Linked DNA regions of Saccharomyces cerevisiae S288C. Each later gene encodes a partner of the first gene's protein in a complex. Each region holds a gene or a part of one and is shown in the gene's direction. Other genes may lie near its edges.

Region 1 (7,582 bases):
ACATCCCCACTAATCTTTCAGCTTCTGCTATTTGGTCAATTGTAGATTTAGTTCTAACGAGACCATTGGAGTTGAATGTCGAGGCTAGTTATTTAAATTTGATCGTTTTATGGAAAAGTGGCACTGCTAGCAAGTTACAGATACTAAACGTAAATGATGAAAGTTTCAAAAACTATGAATGGATAGAATCAGTTAACAAATCCTTAGTAGATTTGCAATCCGAACATGATTTGGATATCGTTACAAAGACTGGAGATGTTGAGAGGGGTTTCTGTAATTTGAAATCAAGATATGGTACCCAAATTTTTGAACGTGCACAGCAAATATTGAGTGAAAATAAGATTATTATGGCTCATAACGAAGATGAAGAATATTTGGCTAATTTAGAAACAATATTGAGAGACGTAAAAACCGCATTCAACGAGGCTTCTTCTATAACACTTTATGGCGATGAAATTATTCTCGTCAATTGTTTCCAACCGTATAATCATTCCCTTTACAAGCTGAATACTACTGTGGAGAATTGGTTTTATAATATGCACTCTGAAACTGATGGTTCTGAATTGTTCAAGTATTTAAGGACATTGAATGGTTTTGCTTCTACTTTGTCAAATGATGTTCTTAGATCCATTTCTAAGAAGTTTCTTGATATAATAACAGGAGAGCTGCCTGATTCTATGACTACCGTAGAAAAATTTACGGACATTTTCAAAAATTGCCTAGAAAATCAATTTGAAATCACAAATCTAAAGATTCTTTTCGACGAATTAAACTCTTTTGATATACCCGTTGTTTTAAATGATTTAATCAATAACCAAATGAAGCCTGGTATATTTTGGAAAAAGGATTTCATCTCTGCAATCAAATTCGATGGTTTCACAAGTATAATTTCCCTAGAATCTCTTCACCAGTTACTTTCCATACATTATCGTATTACTTTACAAGTATTGTTAACATTCGTTCTGTTCGATCTTGATACCGAAATTTTCGGACAGCATATATCTACATTATTGGATTTGCATTATAAGCAATTTTTATTGTTAAACCTTTATAGACAAGATAAGTGTCTGTTGGCGGAAGTTCTTCTCAAGGATTCTTCTGAATTCTCTTTCGGTGTCAAATTTTTTAACTACGGCCAACTCATTGCCTATATCGATTCCTTAAACTCTAATGTTTACAATGCTTCCATCACTGAAAATTCTTTCTTTATGACGTTTTTCCGCTCATATATCATTGAAAACACATCTCATAAGAATATAAGGTTCTTTCTCGAGAACGTTGAATGCCCCTTCTACTTACGCCACAACGAGGTGCAAGAATTTATGTTTGCCATGACGTTATTTAGTTGTGGTAATTTCGATCAATCCTATGAAATTTTTCAACTACACGATTATCCGGAGGCTATCAATGATAAATTGCCGACATTCTTAGAAGACCTTAAGAGTGAAAACTATCACGGTGATAGTATATGGAAAGATCTTTTGTGCACCTTTACAGTTCCATATAGGCATTCTGCATTCTATTATCAATTATCTCTCTTATTTGATAGAAATAACAGCCAAGAATTTGCTTTGAAATGTATATCTAAGTCAGCAGAATATTCATTAAAAGAAATTCAGATTGAAGAACTGCAAGACTTCAAAGAAAAACAGCATATTCATTATTTAAATCTTTTAATCCACTTCAGAATGTTTGAAGAAGTCTTGGATGTTTTGAGATTGGGTCACGAGTGTCTTTCCGACACAGTAAGAACAAATTTTCTCCAATTATTATTACAGGAAGACATATATTCACGAGATTTTTTCAGCACACTTCTGCGCTTGTGTAACGCACATTCAGACAATGGCGAGCTATATCTTCGTACAGTAGATATTAAAATAGTGGATAGTATTCTGTCACAAAATCTACGGAGTGGTGATTGGGAGTGTTTTAAGAAACTTTATTGTTTTAGAATGTTGAACAAAAGCGAGAGGGCTGCTGCAGAAGTACTGTACCAGTACATATTAATGCAAGCTGATCTTGATGTTATTCGAAAGAGAAAATGTTACCTAATGGTCATCAACGTTTTATCTAGCTTTGATAGTGCATACGATCAATGGATTCTAAACGGAAGTAAAGTGGTTACTTTAACTGATTTAAGAGATGAGTTACGAGGTCTATAGTGAATATATAAACTGTAAATTAATACTTCATTTAAAAAATTGATCAACTCAAATCCGAATATTAGCACCATGATCTTCGTTTGTTTTTTAAGTAAAAAGATTGAACTTTAAATCTAAATTATTATTACATGAATGTACAGACAGGAAAAATAAAAAACAAAAACAGAAGAATCACAAGTTCCCTAATATAAAAGAATACAAAACATTATTTCATGACACTGTTCCTAGAGCTTGTATTAAAAGCGGTAGAAGAGAGGAGATAATAGAGAAATTTCAATGTAACTATTGGTCAACAAAGCATCCGGGCATATAGCATAGATATTACTCGCTCTTTTTTGAGTTACATGCCACAATCCTCAACTTATCCACCGAAATTACACTTTGGCTATCTCCAGACCCGTTCTGGGAGGCGTCGCGGTGGCTGTCCTCAACAGTAACCTGACAATTTTTTACGATAAAAGTCCAAACATCATCGCAAAATCCATATGTGTCCAGGTTTCCTTTCACAGTCAATTTAGATTGGGTATTGTCTTTTAAAGTCTCAGCCACCACTTTGTCAAATGTCTCTAAAACACGCATAGCTAACGACGCTTCTATTCTCCCATCACTAATTAAAGTATCAAGAGCATCCACCAAACTATTCCCTATAGTACTTCTACGATATAATTCGTAATACCCGGGTACTGCCATTTATCCTTACTGTTATCTTCGATAGCCTGTGTCCCCCTCCTAACCTCTAAGTGCATCTTCTACTTATTCCTTATTCGGTCGAATATTTCACAAAGTATTCTAAGGCGTTAAGAAAATATTGTTATTAGTAAAATTAGCTTACCCGGCAATACAACAATAATGAAGCTAACATTATGTTGTATTGACAATTCAGTTCATGTTTGACATTTGCCTAGCAGAAGACATTATCTGCCATGCAACCTGAAAATTCATAGAACTTTTGGAACTTATTTATCTATCTTTCTTCAATTTCTTTGGTTAACACTTTTTTTTTATGTTTTTTTACGTTTTGAGATCATAAATATTTGGAAATATAAATAATCACAAATTCATAACAACTCTTTTTTTAGATAAAGTAAAAACACAGTTATGTATGTAAAGTATTTTAAAACATAAAAAAGGATGATCGACTTGATATATTCATTATCATGTAGTGTATAAGCGGTAAATATAACTACCTTAATCCATTGCTGGTGCAATAACCTTCCTTATGCCATTATATTATGTCACAACATTGTAATTCAGGCGGGTAACTTTACTGAAAGTTAATACAATGATGATGAATATCAAGCATATTGTTAATAACCAAGTTTATGGCCAACATAAAATAAGCAAGAACAATCAAGAGGGTACTGAAATTTCGGTAGCTCTCATCATATCGGCAGAGACTGGAATAGTGTAACATGAGTAGCACGATATTTTACCGCTTTAAGTCTCAACGAAACACATCAAGAATTTTATTTGATGGTACCGGCCTGACAGTATTTGATTTGAAAAGGGAAATTATTCAAGAGAACAAACTAGGTGACGGCACAGATTTCCAATTAAAAATTTACAACCCAGATACAGAAGAGGAATACGACGATGATGCCTTTGTTATACCTAGATCTACTAGTGTCATAGTAAAAAGATCTCCAGCAATTAAATCATTCTCCGTACACAGTCGACTTAAAGGGAATGTGGGAGCAGCAGCTCTTGGGAACGCAACAAGGTATGTTACTGGTAGGCCAAGAGTGTTGCAAAAGAGACAACACACTGCTACAACCACTGCTAATGTTAGTGGTACAACGGAAGAAGAAAGAATTGCTAGTATGTTTGCCACACAAGAAAATCAATGGGAACAAACGCAAGAAGAAATGTCTGCAGCCACACCTGTTTTTTTCAAGTCACAGACGAATAAGAATTCTGCACAAGAAAACGAAGGCCCACCGCCACCAGGTTATATGTGCTATCGTTGTGGGGGTAGAGACCACTGGATTAAAAATTGTCCAACTAACAGCGATCCAAATTTTGAAGGAAAAAGAATCAGAAGAACCACAGGTATTCCAAAGAAGTTTTTAAAATCCATTGAAATAGATCCCGAGACAATGACACCGGAAGAGATGGCTCAGCGAAAGATTATGATTACGGACGAAGGCAAGTTCGTGGTACAAGTTGAAGACAAACAATCATGGGAAGACTACCAAAGGAAAAGAGAGAACCGTCAAATTGATGGTGATGAAACCATTTGGAGAAAAGGCCATTTCAAAGATCTTCCTGACGATTTAAAATGTCCCTTGACAGGTGGTCTTTTGAGGCAGCCGGTAAAGACAAGCAAGTGCTGTAACATAGATTTCTCAAAAGAGGCGCTGGAAAATGCACTGGTAGAGAGCGACTTTGTATGCCCCAATTGCGAAACCCGCGATATCCTTCTCGATTCTTTAGTACCCGACCAGGACAAGGAAAAGGAGGTCGAAACGTTTTTGAAGAAACAAGAGGAACTACACGGAAGCTCTAAAGATGGCAACCAGCCAGAAACTAAGAAAATGAAGTTGATGGATCCAACTGGCACCGCTGGCTTGAACAACAATACCAGCCTTCCAACTTCTGTAAATAACGGCGGTACGCCAGTGCCACCAGTACCGTTACCTTTCGGTATACCTCCTTTCCCCATGTTTCCAATGCCCTTCATGCCTCCAACGGCTACTATCACAAATCCTCATCAAGCTGACGCAAGCCCTAAGAAATGAATAACAATACTGACAGTACTAAATAATTGCCTACTTGGCTTCACATACGTTGCATACGTCGATATAGATAATAATGATAATGACAGCAGGATTATCGTAATACGTAATAGTTGAAAATCTCAAAAATGTGTGGGTCATTACGTAAATAATGATAGGAATGGGATTCTTCTATTTTTCCTTTTTCCATTCTAGCAGCCGTCGGGAAAACGTGGCATCCTCTCTTTCGGGCTCAATTGGAGTCACGCTGCCGTGAGCATCCTCTCTTTCCATATCTAACAACTGAGCACGTAACCAATGGAAAAGCATGAGCTTAGCGTTGCTCCAAAAAAGTATTGGATGGTTAATACCATTTGTCTGTTCTCTTCTGACTTTGACTCCTCAAAAAAAAAAAATCTACAATCAACAGATCGCTTCAATTACGCCCTCACAAAAACTTTTTTCCTTCTTCTTCGCCCACGTTAAATTTTATCCCTCATGTTGTCTAACGGATTTCTGCACTTGATTTATTATAAAAAGACAAAGACATAATACTTCTCTATCAATTTCAGTTATTGTTCTTCCTTGCGTTATTCTTCTGTTCTTCTTTTTCTTTTGTCATATATAACCATAACCAAGTAATACATATTCAAAATGGGTGTTGAACAAATCTTAAAGAGAAAGACCGGTGTCATCGTTGGTGAAGATGTCCACAACTTATTCACTTACGCTAAGGAACACAAGTTCGCTATTCCAGCTATTAACGTCACCTCTTCTTCTACTGCCGTCGCTGCTTTAGAAGCTGCTAGAGACAGCAAGTCCCCAATCATTTTGCAAACCTCTAACGGTGGTGCTGCTTACTTCGCTGGTAAGGGTATCTCTAACGAAGGTCAAAATGCTTCCATCAAGGGTGCTATTGCCGCTGCCCACTACATCAGATCCATTGCTCCAGCTTACGGTATCCCAGTTGTCTTACACTCTGACCACTGTGCCAAGAAGTTGTTGCCATGGTTCGATGGTATGTTGGAAGCTGATGAAGCTTACTTCAAGGAACACGGTGAACCATTATTCTCCTCCCACATGTTGGATTTGTCTGAAGAAACCGATGAAGAAAACATCTCTACTTGTGTCAAGTACTTCAAGAGAATGGCCGCTATGGACCAATGGTTAGAAATGGAAATCGGTATTACCGGTGGTGAAGAAGATGGTGTTAACAACGAAAACGCTGACAAGGAAGACTTGTACACCAAGCCAGAACAAGTTTACAACGTCTACAAGGCTTTGCACCCAATCTCTCCAAACTTCTCCATTGCTGCTGCTTTCGGTAACTGTCACGGTTTGTACGCTGGTGACATCGCTTTGAGACCAGAAATCTTGGCTGAACACCAAAAGTACACCAGAGAACAAGTTGGTTGCAAGGAAGAAAAGCCATTGTTCTTGGTCTTCCACGGTGGTTCCGGTTCTACTGTCCAAGAATTCCACACTGGTATTGACAACGGTGTTGTCAAGGTCAACTTGGACACTGACTGTCAATACGCTTACTTGACTGGTATCAGAGACTACGTCTTGAACAAGAAGGACTACATAATGTCCCCAGTCGGTAACCCAGAAGGTCCAGAAAAGCCAAACAAGAAGTTCTTCGACCCAAGAGTCTGGGTTAGAGAAGGTGAAAAGACCATGGGTGCTAAGATCACCAAGTCTTTGGAAACTTTCCGTACCACTAACACTTTATAAGTTAATTCAAATTAATTGATATAGTTTTTTAATGAGTATTGAATCTGTTTAGAAATAATGGAATATTATTTTTATTTATTTATTTATATTATTGGTCGGCTCTTTTCTTCTGAAGGTCAATGACAAAATGATATGAAGGAAATAATGATTTCTAAAATTTTACAACGTAAGATATTTTTACAAAAGCCTAGCTCATCTTTTGTCATGCACTATTTTACTCACGCTTGAAATTAACGGCCAGTCCACTGCGGAGTCATTTCAAAGTCATCCTAATCGATCTATCGTTTTTGATAGCTCATTTTGGAGTTCGCGATTGTCTTCTGTTATTCACAACTGTTTTAATTTTTATTTCATTCTGGAACTCTTCGAGTTCTTTGTAAAGTCTTTCATAGTAGCTTACTTTATCCTCCAACATATTTAACTTCATGTCAATTTCGGCTCTTAAATTTTCCACATCATCAAGTTCAACATCATCTTTTAACTTGAATTTATTCTCTAGCTCTTCCAACCAAGCCTCATTGCTCCTTGATTTACTGGTGAAAAGTGATACACTTTGCGCGCAATCCAGGTCAAAACTTTCCTGCAAAGAATTCACCAATTTCTCGACATCATAGTACAATTTGTTTTGTTCTCCCATCACAATTTAATATACCTGATGGATTCTTATGAAGCGCTGGGTAATGGACGTGTCACTCTACTTCGCCTTTTTCCCTACTCCTTTTAGTACGGAAGACAATGCTAATAAATAAGAGGGTAATAATAATATTATTAATCGGCAAAAAAGATTAAACGCCAAGCGTTTAATTATCAGAAAGCAAACGTCGTACCAATCCTTGAATGCTTCCCAATTGTATATTAAGAGTCATCACAGCAACATATTCTTGTTATTAAATTAATTATTATTGATTTTTGATATTGTATAAAAAAACCAAATATGTATAAAAAAAGTGAATAAAAAATACCAAGTATGGA
Region 2 (3,929 bases), 110 kb from region 1:
ATACGTAAGAAATTCTAGCACCACCAGAAAGTTCCTGACTGGAAAGCTCCTTCGCCTCACCGTCCAAGATACCGGCATATTCATTGGAAAAATCAGTAATCATGCTCAAAACAACCGAACTAGCTGAATCCATAGTTTCTGGGCCCAAGTTTATAAGTTCGTTTTGATATTTTTTCAATGTGGCTTCGATTTTCGCTTTGATTTCTGGCAGAGTTTGCCTAATGTGGTGTAATAAGATTGAGTTTAACTTTTTAGCCAAATATGGTGTACCACAGTAATGAGCTTTAGAACTGTAAGAGGGATGGTTCTCAAAAAATTTTCTTTCGTTTTCAAGGGCTTCTCTGATTGTTTTTTTGTGTTCAATATCCTTTTGACCTCTATTGATAACTGGGATATAACCATATCTCAAAGGAATGACTCTTCCAGCCAAAATATCTATGACATCTGTACCTTGATCCATCAAATCGACTTTTGTCAAGACACCAATAGTTCTCGTTCCTTCTGGATCGACCTCTCTAGCCAGCTTCAAACCATCGCTGTTGGCTAAATCGGTGTTAGCGGCATTAACAGATAATATGATAGCGTTTGGTTTCGAAATATACTTTAACAACATGTCCTTAATTTGTCTTTCAATATCAGGAGGTTGGTCACCTACGGGAACCTTCGTCAACCCAGGCAAATCCACTAACGTCAAAGTAAGAACATGCGGAGAATAAATTCTCAAGTTAATGGGCACAGAAGAAATACCTGAATTGGCACCTGTCACTTTGTCAGTTTCTTTGACGATTTCCTTTCTAATTTCGTCAAAATTATAAAACTTCTTACCAGGTAAATGCAAAAATTCACCCCATTCCTCTTTATTGTCTTCAGATTGTCCCTCGTTCTGGTGCTTTCCTGATTCATCCTTTTTCTTGTCATCATCGTTGATGTTCAAGTCAATCAATTCATTAGCAGTTTGGTTTACTTTAGCATGTTCTGACTTTTTTGGTCTCCTATTAATCAATTGTAACACTAAAGGTCTCCTGGTGACAATACCAGTACCTCTTGGCAAGAAATCCCTACCAACAATGTTCTCCAAAACGGACGACTTTCCTGACGACTGGGAACCGACAACAGTGATCTGTGGTAAATCAATAGGAGATTGAGATCCTCCTCCTAAGGGCGCCAAAGCGTCCTGAAGCTTGTTAATAGTAGAAATTAAATGCTCATCCATGATATCTGATAATATAAAATGTGCAGTTTTCGTACGGTCCTTATTTTGGTGCTATAAAAGGCCTCTCTAATTCTTTTTTAGGAGTAAATAGATGAATTATCTCGGTCTGTCTTGGAAGATATGTTGTTCTCTTGATGGCAAAGCGACGCGAATCAACGGCGCCCAAGTCTTTGGGTGACCCGGCCACTTAATAATGTTTGGGGAAGAAATCAATCCATTAGAACATTGGTTTTGGAAACTAGGCCAGTCCAAGCGCACAAGTGGTTTACCCTCGAGCATTTTTCGACTATTAGAGGATTCAAGTATCTATCGAATTCTCTGAAGCTATCATACTATCCTCTGGACGATATTAGAACGATTTTTCAAGTGAAACGTTTTAGCAAAAGTTTAAAGACACTAAACTAGCTAAATAATTTCACTGTGAGCAAGTCTTTAAACGGTCTTTTTTGAATCAAAAGAGGCCTAGAATTAGCAAAATATTTAACGCATAAACTTTTTTTAGACAAATAATGAGCTCTCAAAAGGTTTTTGGTATTACTGGACCTGTTTCCACCGTGGGCGCCACAGCAGCAGAAAATAAATTAAATGATAGTTTAATCCAAGAACTGAAAAAGGAAGGATCGTTCGAAACAGAGCAAGAAACTGCCAATAGGGTACAAGTGTTGAAAATATTGCAGGAATTGGCACAAAGATTTGTTTATGAAGTATCGAAGAAGAAAAATATGTCAGACGGGATGGCAAGGGATGCTGGTGGGAAGATTTTTACGTATGGGTCCTATAGACTAGGAGTCCATGGGCCTGGTAGTGATATCGATACTTTGGTAGTTGTTCCAAAACATGTAACTCGGGAAGATTTTTTTACGGTATTTGATTCACTACTGAGAGAGAGGAAGGAACTGGATGAAATTGCACCTGTACCTGATGCGTTTGTCCCGATTATCAAGATAAAGTTCAGTGGTATTTCTATCGATTTAATCTGTGCACGTCTAGACCAACCTCAAGTGCCTTTATCCTTGACTTTATCAGATAAAAATCTACTGCGAAATCTAGACGAGAAGGACTTGAGAGCTTTGAATGGTACCAGAGTAACAGATGAGATATTAGAACTGGTACCAAAGCCGAATGTTTTCAGAATCGCTTTAAGAGCTATTAAGCTATGGGCCCAAAGAAGGGCTGTTTATGCTAATATTTTTGGTTTTCCTGGTGGTGTGGCTTGGGCCATGCTAGTGGCTAGAATTTGTCAACTATACCCTAACGCCTGTAGCGCAGTTATATTGAACAGATTTTTCATCATTTTGTCGGAATGGAATTGGCCACAACCTGTTATCTTGAAACCAATTGAGGATGGCCCGTTACAAGTTCGTGTATGGAATCCAAAGATATATGCCCAAGACAGGTCTCATAGAATGCCCGTCATTACACCAGCTTATCCATCAATGTGTGCTACCCATAACATCACGGAATCTACTAAAAAAGTCATTTTACAGGAATTCGTAAGAGGCGTTCAAATTACGAATGATATTTTTTCCAATAAGAAGTCCTGGGCCAATTTATTCGAAAAAAACGATTTTTTCTTTCGATACAAGTTCTATTTAGAAATTACTGCATATACAAGGGGCAGTGACGAGCAGCATTTAAAATGGAGTGGTCTTGTTGAAAGTAAGGTAAGGCTTCTAGTTATGAAACTGGAGGTGTTAGCTGGAATAAAAATTGCACATCCTTTCACCAAACCCTTTGAAAGTAGTTATTGTTGTCCAACCGAGGATGACTATGAAATGATTCAAGACAAATACGGTAGTCATAAAACTGAGACAGCACTGAACGCCCTTAAACTGGTAACAGATGAAAATAAAGAGGAAGAAAGTATTAAAGATGCACCAAAGGCATATTTAAGCACCATGTACATAGGCCTTGACTTTAATATTGAAAACAAAAAGGAAAAAGTTGACATTCACATTCCCTGCACTGAATTTGTGAATTTATGTCGAAGTTTCAATGAGGATTATGGTGACCACAAAGTATTCAATCTAGCCCTCCGCTTCGTAAAGGGTTACGATTTGCCAGATGAAGTTTTCGATGAAAATGAAAAGAGACCATCAAAGAAGAGTAAAAGGAAGAATTTAGATGCTAGACATGAAACCGTGAAGAGATCTAAATCAGATGCTGCTTCAGGTGACAACATCAATGGCACAACCGCAGCTGTTGACGTAAACTAAGACATTCCTATTTATAGTTGAATAGTTTATTAATATAGGTTAATCAGTCATAAACAAATTTGTACCCTTTTTTTTGAATCAAAGTACTTTTTTTACGAAGCAGTAAAACGTTTACGAGATTCTCTCTACATATGCTCTTTCGCGTGTAGCGACATTTTACCATTAGGTGAGAATTTTGTGTTACAAGCTGGATGTCAGGATGATACCTTTGAAGGCATAGTTAAATTGGCTGGGAAAGGAACGGAACCTTTTCCTTTCCGAGTTTCGGCCAGATATTTAGGCTTTTTTTTTTCTGACGGAATAGGGGACCCAGGATTGACAAATATAACAAAACAAGCTTCAACGAGACGTTTATCTCGAGAATTACGTCTGACAGTTACATGAAGTGTGAGTTCATGCAATCTGTACCTTTATTGACACAGATATACTAAAAGAAGTTACAATGGGCTCCAAAAAACTGACCGTAGGATCTGATTCGCACCGGTTGAGCAAATCCAGTT
Region 3 (4,101 bases), on another chromosome or scaffold:
CAAAACTTCGTGGACGTTTGGGAAATCCATACCACGGGCTCCCACATCCGTACAAACCAAAATACCGGATTCATCTTTTTTGAATCTTTTAACTAAACTTGTTCTTTTATTTTGAGTAATTTTACCATGAAATTCCAAAATTGGTAAATCTTTCTTAAATTCATTCTTTAAAATACTGCACAAAAAGGATGTGAATTTAACAGTTGGTGCAAAAATAATGGCTTTGTAATTAGAATCTCTTTCCTTTATTTGTTTCTTTATATGCTCCACAGCAGCAAATATACTATTGGCAAACTTTTCTGAAATGACGACAGACTGATCAATTCTTTCATGTGCTTCAGGTTCATTCTTATCTACTGTGTCTAAAAAGAGACATTCTTTTTTATTCATGATATTGTTTGCCAACTTTTGTACTTTGTCGTCCAGAGTAGCAGAGAACAACAAAGTCTTGATATTATCGGCTGATTTGGAGTTCTTTTCATTTAAAATACCAGAAATAGTTTCTAAATCATCCCTGAATCCAATTTCTAGCAATCTGTCAGCTTCATCTAGCACTTTGTAATCTACGAACCTAAAAAATTTGTTGGAGTATTTTTCCAAAACATCAATCAATCTCCCTGGAGTGGCAATTACAATGTTTGGTCTCAACTTATTCATTTTATTCATAGCTGCCCTGAAGTCAGTACCACCAACTAAAGAGACACAAGCGTACTTTTTCAAGCCATAATTCATATCGTGGATTTTTTTCACCTCTGCTTCGATTTGCAAGGCCAAATCTCTTGTTGGTGCGACAATAACAGCTTTTACCATATATTGAGAATCGAACTTCGTATTTATCAAATGCTGGAAAATTGGAATCAAGAAGGCAAATGTCTTACCTGTACCGGTTTTAGCTCTTGCGATAACATCATGGTCTTCACTGGATAATATTGGTTTGATAGTCTTTTGCTGTACAGGAGTTAAACCGGGAAATTCCATCCTGGTAATGGCTTTATGTATTTCTTTATCAAGGACTCCTTCCTCCAGTAAAGAGTCCAGCGTTACTTCTTTACTATTATCTTCTTTTGGGACGTGAATTAGTTTGGAAAAAGTGGTCTTATCAAAGTGCACTTCATCATCGTCTTCTCTAGACCTTGTCCTTGGGCGAGAATTGAAACGGGAGTTTCTATACCTGTTACTGTTGTTGTTTCTCTGATTCCTACCAAAATTTCTTTGATCTCTGTTTCCATCATTGTATAATCTTCTTGAAACAGCCCAAGTAATATGGTTGCAATTCGAGAGAGCTGCTAATAAATTTCTGCTTGCAAGAACAGGTGTGCGACCTTTTATCAATATAGAGGTCAACATTTATCAGCCTAACGTGCAACTCTGGTATTTTCTTGCCACTCTGAGACACCATAGTGGCCATCAATACTTCCCTTCTTTTTATAGGAAAATTTTATTCTTTCTATAATATCACTACAGACGGAGAATGAAACAGATGATGATTGAAGCATCCATAAGTAAAGACACTTTGAGGTTGCTAATTTGCTTTTTTGAAATAAAACAGTGCCATATATCACTCCAGCCTACTTGTTATTATCAGAATTGGGTACGGTATTCATCTATATATTACCAGTTGTAAATCACGATATATCACGATACACGACTCTCCGGCGCCAGCGTTTTTCGTCAGTTTTTCTCAAGGCGGTATAAAAAATCGATGATATTCGATTGAGGCACTTGTTAACAAGCATACACTGTTGGAGGCAGAACAAAACAAGCATAACTCTTTTGTACTGTATTGTACTCTACCGCTCTGTATCACGTCGGCACACCAACGGTTTCTTTTGGCGGGTCTATTATATATATTATATATACTTTTATCAAGACATCGTGTGAGTAAGTGAGGTTAAAGCTCAAAAACCTACAAGCAAAGGCACAAGGAAATCGAAAGGACCAAGAAAGGAAAAGAAAAGAAACGATACGATAAGTAAAGACACTGTGGAAGAATTGAACAATGTCAGCACCTGTTCCTCAATTAGTAAATATTTCTCATGCCTTGCAAGCTTCCACTATCCAGCAAATTCGTTTGGATATGGTAGATTTTAATAAAGATTGCAAATTATCTTCCATTCAACTGGCAAGAATTGACAAGTATATCGATTCTTTGCAAGCGGCTTTGAATCAGTTTACCAAAGATAACTTGCACATAGAACGGAAGGAAAAGAACGTGACTGAAGCAGATATACAGCTGTATTCTGGCTTAAAATCAATGTATCTAGATTATTTGAACCAGCTAATTAAACTAAAGCATGAGAAACAACACCACTCTACACCGCCCATCGCTAATGATGTCTCCCTGGACTTCTTCGTTAACCAATTGCCTAAGTTTTCTCCCGAGGAAAGGAAAAATTACATTGACAATTTAATCCTGAATAAAAATAGCCATAATCGATTATCTAAAATGGATGGTCTGGTAGATGCAGTCATCAATTTATGCGTCTTGGATACTTCCGTTGCTGAAAATGTACGATCCTATATGAAATTATTAGATACATTGGGTTTCCAAAAGGGTTCGAATAGTACTGGTACAAAGGCCAACCTCAAAAAGAAATTGGCTAGTTCGAAAGCAAAGATAAAGGATTCAGAAAAAGAAAAGGAGAAGGAGAAGGATAAATCAAAAGTCAAGATGAAAACTAAATTAAAACCTTCTCCTTTGCTCAATAACGATGACAAAAATTCTTCTCCATCGCCTACTGCATCTACCTCTTCAATGAAGAAATTGAAGTCGGGTTTATTCAATAAAAATGAAGCTAAGTCTACAGAATCTCTACCTACTTCTTCCAAGAAAAAACTATCATTTTCTAAATATCTGAACAAGGATGACGCAGATATGACCAAGCTTGGGACTAAACGGTCAATAGATGTGGATTTCAAAGTCAACCCCGAAGCATCCACGGTGGCTTCTAATATCATATCTTCGTCAACGTCAGGATCGTCAACCACAACGGTAGCGACTCCTGCTTCTTCAGAAGAGCCCTTAAAAAAAAAAACCAAAATATCCGTGCAAGACTCTAATGTACAATCGATTTTGAGAAATGGTAAACCGAAAAAAGCACGCATAAGTAGCATCAAATTTTTGGATGATTCCCAACTAATAAAAGTTTACGGTGACGATCTACCGAACCAAGGGCTACAAGTTTCTCCTACTCAATTGAAAAAAATTCTGAAACCATTCAAGGAGGGGGAACCGAAGGAAATTATATTGTTCGAGGATATGTCAATCAAATTAAAACCTCTTGATTTGATGTTTCTGAAGAACACAAACAGTGATGACTATATGGATATATCCGAGACTAAAGGTGGCCCAATACATTGTGAAACAAGGACCCCGTTGATCTATAGAAAAAATTTCAATCATTTCAACCCGGACTTGAATAAAAGGCCGCCAAGAGAACCCATAGAATTCGACTTAAATGGAAATACGAACTCAACCCCGACTATAGCAAAGGCTTTCGGTAAAAATAGTTTATTACTAAGGAAGGACAGAGGTGGTTTGCCATACAAGCATGTCCCCATAGTAAAAAGAAATAAATATCCTCCAAGACCAGTACACTAAGCTATGACATGCTGATACATAAACATGTAGTATATATACTCATTTTATATAATGTAATTATAAGATATCAACCTTATACCGCTGAAGACTTTTTATTTTGAAGTTTTTTCATCAGTAATCTGGACATGACGATGCTACTGGCACTTACGGCCCCAAAAGGTGGGAAATACTCCAAAACAGTTCTTAATTTACTAGGTTGGATTTTTTTTACAACACTTTCAATCTGTTCGTATAAGTCAACCAATGTGCTGTTATTTTGTAGGATATAGTCAGATCTTGCCATCCTTTCTTCAGTGCTCATTTGACTATTTAGCCTGTTTTTTGCATCTTCTTCACTAAGTTCAGGATTTCTTGTCATTAATCTTTCTAGTTGCAATTCTTGCGTACAAATTACGCTTACAGTCACTCCGCATATTGAATCCAGATTTCCTTCAAATAAGAGTGGCACATCCAATACACACATTCTATATCCCTTCAAGTAATAGTAGCCAATTTCTTTG

What was found. Proteins that work in one complex are often made in the same cells at the same time.
Region 2: MPE1 (region 1) and PAP1 share a complex: the UniProt entries of both Saccharomyces cerevisiae proteins name them as parts of the cleavage and polyadenylation factor (CPF) complex.
Region 3: MPE1 (region 1) and REF2 share a complex: the UniProt entries of both Saccharomyces cerevisiae proteins name them as parts of the cleavage and polyadenylation factor (CPF) complex.

Annotation. Positions count from the first base shown.
Region 1 is NC_001143.9:325,436-333,017, reverse strand, and holds MPE1 (cleavage polyadenylation factor subunit MPE1), read left to right. Parts: upstream 1-3,574; coding exon 3,575-4,900; downstream 4,901-7,582. Other genes in the region: NUP120 (Nup120p), read left to right, coding at 1-2,162; TOA2 (transcription initiation factor IIA subunit gamma), read right to left, coding at 2,484-2,852; fructose-bisphosphate aldolase FBA1, read left to right, coding at 5,531-6,610; BLI1 (Bli1p), read right to left, coding at 6,906-7,247. UniProt on the Saccharomyces cerevisiae protein: Component of the cleavage and polyadenylation factor (CPF) complex, which plays a key role in polyadenylation-dependent pre-mRNA 3'-end formation and cooperates with cleavage factors including the CFIA complex and NAB4/CFIB.
Region 2 is NC_001143.9:441,510-445,438, forward strand, and holds PAP1 (polynucleotide adenylyltransferase PAP1), read left to right. Parts: upstream 1-1,722; coding exon 1,723-3,429; downstream 3,430-3,929. Other genes in the region: dynamin-like GTPase VPS1, read right to left, coding at 1-1,213; oxysterol-binding protein OSH6, read left to right, coding at 3,872-3,929. UniProt on the Saccharomyces cerevisiae protein: Polymerase component of the cleavage and polyadenylation factor (CPF) complex, which plays a key role in polyadenylation-dependent pre-mRNA 3'-end formation and cooperates with cleavage factors including the CFIA complex and NAB4/CFIB.
Region 3 is NC_001136.10:846,600-850,700, forward strand, and holds REF2 (RNA-processing protein REF2), read left to right. Parts: upstream 1-1,999; coding exon 2,000-3,601; downstream 3,602-4,101. Other genes in the region: MSS116 (ATP-dependent RNA helicase), read right to left, coding at 1-1,347; YDR194W-A (uncharacterized protein), read left to right, coding at 1,472-1,624; CAB5 (putative dephospho-CoA kinase), read right to left, coding at 3,675-4,101. UniProt on the Saccharomyces cerevisiae protein: RNA-binding component of the cleavage and polyadenylation factor (CPF) complex, which plays a key role in polyadenylation-dependent pre-mRNA 3'-end formation and cooperates with cleavage factors including the CFIA complex and NAB4/CFIB.